3 linked regions of the Canis lupus familiaris genome follow. The protein of the gene in region 3 interacts with the protein of the main gene of each other region in a pairwise test. Links are inferred from orthologs where the notes say so. Each region holds a gene or a part of one and is shown on either strand. Other genes may lie near its edges. The genes, in order: CCNA1, CCND2 and CDKN1B.

What was found.
Region 1: the proteins of CDKN1B (region 3) and CCNA1 interact in binary tests that used the Homo sapiens proteins (3 or more experiments, as listed by UniProt). The link is inferred for Canis lupus familiaris from reciprocal best matches to the Homo sapiens genes CDKN1B and CCNA1.
Region 2: the proteins of CDKN1B (region 3) and CCND2 interact in binary tests that used the Homo sapiens proteins (3 or more experiments, as listed by UniProt). The two-hybrid records come from large-scale screens. The link is inferred for Canis lupus familiaris from reciprocal best matches to the Homo sapiens genes CDKN1B and CCND2.

Annotation. Positions count from the first base shown.
Region 1 is NC_049246.1:4,254,837-4,258,357, forward strand, and holds the end of CCNA1 (cyclin-A1), read right to left. Parts: intron 3,339-3,521; coding exon 3,134-3,338; intron 2,219-3,133; coding exon 2,105-2,218; intron 1,211-2,104; coding exon 1,077-1,210; intron 801-1,076; coding exon 749-800; coding exon of another isoform or gene 732-748; 3' UTR 535-731; downstream 1-534. UniProt on the Homo sapiens protein: May be involved in the control of the cell cycle at the G1/S (start) and G2/M (mitosis) transitions. May primarily function in the control of the germline meiotic cell cycle and additionally in the control of mitotic cell cycle in some somatic cells.
Region 2 is NC_049248.1:5,502,633-5,506,282, reverse strand, and holds part of CCND2 (G1/S-specific cyclin-D2), read right to left. Parts: intron 1,461-3,650; coding exon 1,301-1,460; intron 1-1,300. UniProt on the Homo sapiens protein: Regulatory component of the cyclin D2-CDK4 (DC) complex that phosphorylates and inhibits members of the retinoblastoma (RB) protein family including RB1 and regulates the cell-cycle during G(1)/S transition.
Region 3 is NC_049248.1:12,565,090-12,568,165, reverse strand, and holds CDKN1B (cyclin-dependent kinase inhibitor 1B), read right to left. Parts: upstream 1,778-3,076; coding exon 1,303-1,777; intron 753-1,302; coding exon 631-752; downstream 1-630. UniProt on the Homo sapiens protein: Important regulator of cell cycle progression. Inhibits the kinase activity of CDK2 bound to cyclin A, but has little inhibitory activity on CDK2 bound to SPDYA. Involved in G1 arrest. Potent inhibitor of cyclin E- and cyclin A-CDK2 complexes.

The sequences.
Region 1 (3,521 bases), on a different chromosome or scaffold from region 3:
AAGTCCCATCCTGTGGTGAAATTTGCTTTTTCTACCTCTCTGAGCATCTTCTAAGGCTGAAATATATGCTTGATGGGTGACTAAGTGAAAACTGAACATTGACATCATGGTATCTACAAAATGAGCATCACATCCCTGGATTAAAATTACATGTCGGTCACCGCTCAGGGGTACCTGATCACATCTAGTCTTCAACTCACTTCCTTTATTCCCTAGGGTCCTGAAGGGAAACTAGAAGAGATTGTACTTGTTTATATCCCTTCACTAATGAGTCTAAGCTTGGAGTTCCCTCCTTCGCCAATTTATGGAGAGCTGTGTAAAAAGTAAACCAATGGGAAGAAAAAAGTCTCAGGGGAGCCACTGACACCAAACATGAAAATCTCTGAATTCCTCAAAACACTTAATCCCAATGGCATACCAGATTTATGAAACCAGTTTAGGAGAATTCTTGAAACAGAGACGACATTTATAATGCTCCCCACTACAATTCCAGGCAAGCATATGGGCCATCCTAATTAGTAAACAAGTCTAACATGTGGTCACAAGGCAAGTTGTTTATTCTTTAAAAAATGTTAGATGATATTACAAACTACTAAAATCTAAGGGAACTTGACTACATTTACATTTTAAAAAATATGTCATCTATATTGTAGCAACACTAGTTGACCCAACCTGCAGAAACCTATAAAAGTTAAGATGAATTCTGTTGATATGGAGGTTAAGTTCTGGAACTACTTCAGCAAGAGACTTATTGTAGAGGGAGAACTGCAGGTGGTTCCATGAGAGACACGTGCATGTACCTGCAATGAGACCCAAACAAAGGACTTCGGTTTTATAAAATCTCAGGCCACAGAGAACTTTCCAGTAGTTTAAACAGAAAGGAAGAACGCTTTCTGACTCTATGTATTCCAAGCTGACATATTATAAATCTAGGCCTCTCTAAACCGATTTTCCTGATTTAACATGCGAGCCTAGCACTGAGATTTCCAATTTGTTCTATTTTTAATGCTGACATTACTATAACCTATTAAAGCCTTAAATTAGTAAGCTCAGAGAAGAAAATTTCAGAAACTTACTTTGAAGCCTTATACTTCTCCCTAATTGCTTGCTGAGGTCGATGGGGTATATCAAGGCATGCTTTATGTAACTCACTCAGGCAAGGCACAATTTCATTTAATGAATAGCCTGTAAATGCAGCAAGAGTTTCTGGCTAATCAAGACAAAAAGAAAAAAACTGCATCATATAACTTTATATCAGAAAGCTGAAGACAAATCTGAAATCAAGGAAGTTAATTACTTAGGAAGTATCCACATTCATTTCAAGAGAAACTGTAATCCTCCTTCAGTGACTTTAGAAATGAAATATTAGGAAGAACAGCCAGAGTTCTCAATTTGTTCATACTGTGTATTTATAATGCTCAATTTGGGGGTAGGTTACTTTTATGTATTCTGTCATGAGCAGGATTTTTACTGGTCCCTAAAGAGCCTCTTCTTATCTAAACACCCTATTTACATCTTACATATGAAAGATTCTTAGTGGATGCAGAATATATAATAATAAATAAGAATTCTAGAATATAAAAGTAGATACTCTACTTCTTTTAGCATAAAAGTGAGCCTTCAGAACCCAATCGAAGGGTCCGTTTCTAAACTCGCCTCTTTTTGGACCAAGAGGCAGCACTAATTGCTCCCTTTCCTCGAAAACTTGATGCAAATTTCTGACCATCCTAAACGGATCCAGATTGTTTTACACACATAGAACAAAAGTCAACAAATTTTGCCTGAAGTGCTCAATGCTTGCACCACAAGGACATTCCTGGCATAAGGTGGGCATTGAGGTTTCCAGGCCTGCTTCTTTTGAATAAGCATGCAAACACCATCTCCTTGCCTTCCTGCAATCTCTACCCCAAGGCCACTGAGTCAAAGCCATAAAAGCTGACCTGCAACACTCAGTGACATGTTGTCATCTGCTGGCAAGACAACCAGTTCCTTATTAAACTAACTTTCCCTCATGAGAGGCCAGTCCATACTAAGCCTTGAGAGTTACTGGACAGATTCTTAGATAGGCTTTGCATTTCGTGTAGAGAACTCATTGGAATCTTACCCAGAAGTGCCTGTTCACAGTATAGTTCGCCAGGCAATAAGCTGCTGCAGCTCTCAGTGAAGGGAGATATTTCAAGAATGGGTCAGCTTCCAACAGACTCAGTTCTGCTACATACTAAGCACAAGAGAGAAAATCCCAGTGGAATTAGAATCTGACTAAGGTTACAAGTAAACCTAGAAATGTGAAGGGAAAAAATTGTCTTATCTTTGTCCATCCTGTATCTAGTGATGTGTGGACAGAAACGGATGCTCAAAATATTCACTGGGTTAATAATTGCTATGCCTATCCATAACCAGAATAGCACTGGTGTTGTAGTACAGGCCAATATACAAGGATTTGGCCCACCTACACAGTATATATGATAGGTTACTTTTCTTGTCTTCTACTAGTGGGTACAGGTGTATACCAGTCACATAAAGTAGCAAAATACGACCGTATGAAGCTACGGATTTGTCAGGCAAATGCATGTAGTTCAGAGGCTAGAACAGTCCCTGCGAGATTAGAAGAAACATACTGGGAAATTTATACATAGATCCTCATTACTCTTTGCATAGCATATACATTCCAGATATGCTAGGATCACAGTGACTGGAAACCAAGTCTTCCAAACTAATACTTCAGTGCCTTCAACTAAAGTACACTAACCCCAGATGACCAAATAATGCTTTATTACTTCATAGTTAGGGTAAGATGAGAGCCAAATCAAACTGCATTTACTTTATTTCCATTCTGTTAACTAAGAAGAGGTATTTGCCTACATGTAGTCTGTATTTGACAAGGGAACGGTTTCCAAACTTAAACTTCTTTTAAGAGTTGGGTGATCAGATAACCCATGCCTACCAAACGTGATGGACAGTGATGTCTCATAACCAGAAATCATGATCCTAAAATTAGCTCTCTTCCATTGCTAAAAAAGTTTTTCTGGACCCAGGACAAAGAACTGATAAGGAAGGAAGAACTGACGGATGATGGGGAAAGGCTAATTTTATTCTCCTTGGTTCCCAAGTTCCTGGAAGTCAGGTAGCATACCTTGGCCAGATTCTCAGTTCTGATGCACACTCCTTGTCTCCTTAAGTACTGAAGGAGAAACTGGTTGGTGGTTGGCACTGTCAGATCAAAAGCTAGGACTTTCAGGAGCAGGTGTTCCATTCTTAACAGTTGTCGTTTCGTGTAAGTGTCATCAGTTATATAGACAAACTCATCTACTTCAGGTGGATATATTTCTTCATATTTCCTATGAAAGGTAAAGAGTTTTTCGGAAGTAAATCTTGGAAGCTGTGGAGCTCCTTCCTCTGCTATCACAACCATGCCTTTTGCATGGCCCTTGAAGACTTCTTTCCTCTGTATCCACATATCCACTTAAATATTACTAAATGGTACCGACCTTGAAAATATTCAGATCTTGATGCCAGAACAA
Region 2 (3,650 bases), about 7.1 Mb from region 3:
CATCTCTTTCTGAGTTTCGTTTTCCCAACCACCCTGAAAAGGCCCTAAGATCGTGCATCCACAGGTGGGTTTTGCAGAGGGAAGCTGAGGTTCACAAAGGTGAAGCAGCCTGTCCAAAGTCATCCAGTGAGAAGTAGCAAAGTCTGACCTTTTGACCGAAAACAGAGCGTATATACTCTTGCCTACTGTGTGATCCATCTGTATTTACTCACAAGTAACATGTAACAAGGTATTGGAAAAAAGTTAGCCCCAGAGTCCCAACTATAAAATTCAACAACTCTTGGCAAACTTGGGCTGAACCCTCTGCACCCCACCCCTCCCCACTCCTCCCCCCCACCCCCCATCCCCAAACAAATGATCTGCCCAGATGGTCGGTTCTATGACGTCTCTATGATTAAGGCTCCAGGGTCTCTCCCATGGCCACTACCAAAAAAAAAAAAAAAAAAAAAAAAAAAAGGTAGAAACTGGCCCAGGTTCAGTTTAAGGAGACCTGTCAACCCTCTGCCTTTAGTTTATTAGAGAAATGCAAAGCATATGGGCCAGTGAGAACTATGTATCAATTGTAGGACCAACATGGTGGGTGGAAAGTTCTTCATAAGAAAAAGCCAGTTGTGACTATTGTGTGAAAGGTTGCAACCAAAATCAAAACACCAGCACTTGAAGGAGTGCATCAAAACTCAGTGCTCAGAACGTGAGTCCTTGCTGAGAGCCAGCCAGGTTTACTCCCCCATCCAGCAGAGGCAACAGCTACATGTATGTGCCCCACAGTAGAAAGAACTCCTCCGGCCTTCCCTTTACTGCTTATCAGGGCAGGGAGCGAATTTATCTTGACAGTGTTCTTTTAACCTATATTTGCCCCCACCCCCCAAAGTTCCTCTTGGGCTTATCTCCAAACCATCCTTTTCCTCAAAAGATTAAAGATTTAAACACAACCAGAGAGCAGTATATATAATCTTCAAAGAGCACTTTAGACATCATAAAGAATATTTTAACAGGCATTATTTTTTTTCCCTTACCACACCCGCCCTCATAAACCATTTATAAGTTGAGCAGAGAAAAAGAATGTACCAGGCTGAGATAAAGTAAATAAAACAGCCCAGGCATGAAACCTGGTAGTCTAGGTTAGTGGGACCACCTATCTCCTAAACCTCTTAAGCCCATGCCAGGTAGTACGCCAGGCTGGCTCCCCTTGACCACCCCCTCCAAAAGGACTCTTCAGCCTGGGTGTGCACCTGCTTCCACTCCCCCAGGACCCCGGACCCCCCCAAGCCCCCCACCCCCCACTGTGGCCTGCTCCTACCGGTGGCACACAGAGCAATGAAGGTCTGCGCGTGCTTGCGGATCAGAGACAATTTCTCACTCGGCTGCGGCAGCTTCCGAAGGATGTGCTCGATGAAGTCATGAGGGGTTACGGCAGCCAGGTTCCACTTCAATTTCCCCAACACCACCAGCTCCCACTCCTGATGAGGGAGGGAGGAAGAGAAAAGTATAAAACCCAGAGGCTGACCTGCTGTTGTCCCAGGACTGGGATTGGGGATCCGGACCAGTTTTAAAGACACTCATTTGGACGCTGTGGGATGGTGAGGTGGGCCCATTTGTCCCAGTACCTCCCCCACCCCCAAAGCTTGGAAGTTGTTGACATCTCTTCTTAGGCTTCCAGTGTCAGGCTCGCTGGGCAATAATGAGAGCCCAGGTGGCTGTTGCCAAGATTCTACTTTCTGCCATTTCTTTTCCTGTCTGGCTCCCCGCTCCCAGCCAATCCCAACCTCCAAACAGTACTGTTGCCTGCCCACCCGGAAGGCTGAACCTACAATAAGATACTGCCAAGGTCATTGTGGCCCTTAGGTAGTAATTTATTGTCTGTGTCTCTACCGCTGGATTAATAGTCTTTTTAATCCTCGGGGCAAAAATGATGCACACAGATAAAGCTCAAAATAAGGTTCCTGGGCCCAACTCCTTGGCAACCAATTAGCTTACTTGTAGCTGGTGCCAGAAAGCGCCACTTCTCTCTGCTTTAAAACTTTCCCCTCCACAAATAATGCAGAAGTCTTGGGAAAAGGACACGCAGCCAGAGTGCCCTTTCACCTAAAAGCTTCATAGGCCTTTGTCATCATGACTAAAGGACCCACCAGAGGGTCACTAGCAACCCCATGTTGCAGCTAGAGGTGATGGGGCAAAGTGAAAGTGCTTGTACTAGGTCACGGAATCCCTCCGTTCAAAACTGAGGGTGGCCAGTGCAACTCCCATCTCTCAAGGGCTTCTCATCACCAGCCCACCTTGTGAGAAACCTCTTTTCTCCCTTACTGGGATGCATTTGGAGAACTGTGCTCAAGGTAAACCAAGCCAAAAAGGAAACCCTAAAAATATGTGCAATCAGAGGGAAAATGGGCCTATCCATTCATGCCTTCATAAGAATGAGAGGAGGAGACCTGCCTGCCTGTGCACCCTGCTCCCCCATTTGCCCTAAGAGTCCCCAGGCTATCTCCCATTTGCTAAGCCAGCAACCAGAGCCCCAGCCCCCCTCTTGCAGCACTAAGTGGCTGTGTGATTTGGGGTGCCTCCTTTCCCCTCACTGGGCATATATGAGGACTCCTCCAGATCCCAGCTTTGGGGATAAATAGATGGGGAATGGGCGGGGTGGGGGGTGGGGGGATGGAAGGCAGCGTTTTGGAGGAACAGTATTAGTTAGCTTGGCTGGTCCCGGAAAAACTGGGGTGTCCTGAAGAACACCATGGCCCACCATCACACTGAAACAAATGAACCACATGGAAGACTCATTCTCCTGGTCTCCCATGAGGAAAAGCAAACTGGCAACGAATTCTAACAAACTTTCCTTTACATGCTTTATAATGTTGGCTTTAGCTTTTTACAGGACGTTGGGGTGGAGGGAAAAAAAAAAAAAAGATAAAATTACTAAACCACCAGTGTCTTCTAAGATGGCTTGAAATTCCAGCCCTTTCTTCTCGCAGGGGAATACGAGTGTAAACCACTCGTCTTGTACTATTATTAAAGGAAGCAGATCTCCCAGAAGAAAGCACCTTTCTGGGCCTCCCGGACCAAACCAGAAGCAGCTGAAATCTGGCAGCGGTTCAAAGGTGAAGTCATTCAGGCCCCTCTGCATTCCCTGCAATTCCTCCCCCAACCTTGCACATGTCTGCCACTAGATGGCAGCCCAGCCCCAGAAAGGAAGGCCTCTCACAAAGAGCTCCGTTCTAGCAGCCAGCCCTGGCCCTACGGACTTCACTTCGGGCAGGCCTTGCCAGTCCGGAGGGGGAGGGGCAGCTAGAGGGGGGCCCCTTTCCAAAGAGCGCAGAGAAAGGTGCGCACACCACTCCTGGTGGGCCTGGGTGCCACTCTCCCAAACCACACTGCCGTAACACGGACACGCCTTTAAGTGCGAAGCTGCAGGGAAAAAGAGTTAAGACCGGGTGGGAAAAAGGTTTGTTGCCAGAAAACCAGTCAAGACAGGACCCTTGTCATGGCAAAGAGGTCACAGCCCCGCTGGAGCTAGGAACCCAGGCTTCAGATTCCTCCAATAAAAAGGCCAAATTTTGACTCGGCTCCAAAGTCAATGAGCTGATATTTAGTTAACAGCTACTATGTACAGGTATCTTGAGAGTTTATCCATTGATGTTACCTTTGAACTGTAG
Region 3 (3,076 bases):
GGGTTCCTTTCCTGTTCCCCAAATTTGTAAGCAAACAGGGAAAGTGACAATTTAAGAAAATGATAAAGATCATGTGACGTACCTCACTATTCACACTACTAACCATAGGATCAACCAAATATGAGCCATCTGCACCCTTTCCCTCAAATTTTAACTTTTATCATTTATTTGCCTTCTTCCCATGTATGGCTCAAAATCTGTTACTGACTCAACTTGAAACCTCTGGGAAAAGAATTCTTATGAAGTGGGACTGAAGCATATCCCAGTTCTTGCTCAGATGGGGGGAAAGAACCTATTGTTCCCAACGGTTTTGGTGGGATTCACAGGGAATTGACCTTCCCACTCATCATCCAGCCTCGGTCACAAGTACTTTGGCTAGGACACTTGCTCTGGTTATTCCGTGTTTTCAAGGAAAAATGACCTCAGGACGTAGACAGTGTGAAAAAAATTACAGGATCCCCACCAGCGATTCCCAGCCTTCCCCATTCCTACTTTTCCACCTCACAAAATAGAAACAAAAACCCACAAGCTCCATTCTGCCAGCAACCACCAAGATTGGGTATCTCGGGGTGTGAAAGCCCATTTCGGAGTGTCAGTTTCTTGCTCCTAGTCATCAACCCACCGAGCAGTTTACGTTTGACGTCTTCTGAGGCCCGGCTTCTTGGGCGTCTGCTCCACTGAACCCGCGTTCGGGGAACCGTCTGAGACGTTTTCTTCTGTTCTGTTGGCTCTTTTGTTTTGAGGAGAGGAATCTAAGGGCAGGAGGGAATTTTAAAAAGAACACACACAATCTTTATTAGAAAAACAATGGCTGACACAAGTTGGCACAATAGTCAGGGGATGAAAAACCCACACCTCCACCCACCATCCTGGATCCGTCATTCCCGGTGGCCTTTAAGGGCACAGAATGAGGTTGTTTTCACATAACAGAAAGTGTATTCTATGCCCCTAGAGCTGTCTCGCTGTCTCTCTCTCTCTCTCTCTCTCTCCCCACTGCAAAGAGGGAGGCCGTTGATAAACATCCCAACGTAGTCACAGACCCAGCGCTGGCCAGCCGGGAGGAACTGCGATGTTTTCGGTTGGAGCAATGATCAGATAACAGCATCTCACTGACTTAAAAACAGGCTCCTGACTTAAAAATCATAAGCAGCCAGGCAGCCAGGCGGACAAGCATTTAAAACCCAAGAGGAGGGCAGTTCGCTCCCCCCACCCACCTCCACTACATCGGAATACTCTGGAAAAGCAAGCTGCGGTTAGGGTCCTGGGCACCCAGACCTTCTCTGCTTGGGGAGGGGTCGTTACCGTCGGTCGCGGGTCGCTTCCTGATCCCAGTGCACTGCTCCGCTAGCCCCGTCTGGCTGTCGGGCGCATCAGTCTTTTGGTCTACCAAGTGTGTGTCCTCTGAGTTGGCCTGAGACCCCAGTAAAGGCCCCGCCTGGCGGGTCCCGCTGACGTCCTGGCTCTCCTGCGCCGGCACCTTGCAGGCGCCTTTGGGTGGCCGCGGGGGTCTGTAGTAGAACTCGGGCAAGCTGCCCTTCTCCACCTCCTGCCACTCGTATTTGCCCTCCAGGGGCTTGTGATTCTGGAAATCAAAATTCCACTTGCGCTGGCTCGCCTCTTCCATGTCTCTGCAGTGCTTCTCCAAGTCCCGGGTCAACTCTTCGTGGTTGACCGGGCCGAAGAGGTTCCTGCAGGCGGAGGGCTTGGGGTACTCGGCCTGTCTGGCGTCCATCCGCTCGAGGCTCGGGCTCCCGTTAGACACTCGCACGTTTGACATCCTCCTCCCCGGTCTTCACGACCGCCGCGAGCGCGCGCGCTCTCTCCCTCTCTCGGAAAACAAAACTGAACAAAACAAAACGCCCCGACCCAGCCCGAACCGCCCCCTAGAAAGCCCTGCGATCGCGCTCGGAGCCAAGAGAAACAAACACGCGCAAGTAACTGCCCGAGCGTCAGGGGCGCGCTGGCCCGGGGGAGGCGGGAGGCGGGAGGGGCAGGGGTGAGGGGTGAGGGGAAGCCCCGGCCCGGCAGCCGAGAGCCGCCGCCGCTCTAGCGGACCGGCGAGCGGGAGGGCGGGGCGGGGAGGGGAGAGGAGAGGAGAGCAGAGCAGAGGCGAGCAGAGGCGAGCAGAGGAGGGCAGAGGAGGGGAGGGGAGGGGCGGCAGAGCCAGTCCAAGCCCGGGCTGCCGCGAGCCCGCGGGTCCCGCCAACCGAGCGGCTCTCCAAACCTTGCGGACGTCGGCGTCGCGGAGCGGCGAGGCAGTGGGGACAGGGGAAGGGGAGAAAAACACCCCGAAAGGACGAGCCCCCTTTTTTTTAGTTGCCCAATATGGCGGTGGAAGGGAGGCTGACGAAGAAGAAAATGATTGACACCGCAAGTCTATTTAAACAGAGGAGGAGATCCATTGGTTGCGGCGCCGGGAGCCGCCCCGCCGAGGCTGGCGAGCGCGGCCTTAAGGTGGCCCCGGCGGCCGCGACGCCTCCCGCTCGCCCCGCCCCGCCCCGCCCCGCCCCGCCCCGCCCCGCCTCCCCGGGCGCGCGCCCGCCTCCGACTGCGCCGCCCGGAGCCTGGCTGGTCGCGTGACTCCGGAGGTGCGCGGCTGCCAGCAAACCTGCTCCGGCTGGCCTCGGAGAAATTAAAAACGAGACAAACAAACTAGCCAACCGGCCGGGAAGCCGGGGAGGGCGGGGGCGGGGGCGGCGGGGCCGCGGGTTCAGGTCCCCGCGCTGCGCTGCCTGGCGCGCCCGCTCCGCGCGCGGGGAGACGGAGGGGGCAGGATCAGATGACCTCCTAGGTGGCCCGGTGGCGAGCTCGTCTTCCCCGCGCTCGCCGAGCCGGGGGTGCGGGCCGCGGGGGGCGGAGGCTGGCCGTGGGAGCTCTGCGCCCCCAGCTGCGCTCTCCCCGCCCGCCCCCCCCCCGCTGCGCTCTCCCCCCCCCCCCCCCCCCCCCCCGGCTCCGGCGCTGCGGGGAGGCTGGGCGGCCTTTGGCGCTCGCGGAGGGGCCGGGAGCCGCGCCCCCGCCCCCGCCCCCGCCCCCACCCCGACCTGGGTGCCTCTGCTAGCGGGGAGCAGTGGTTAGC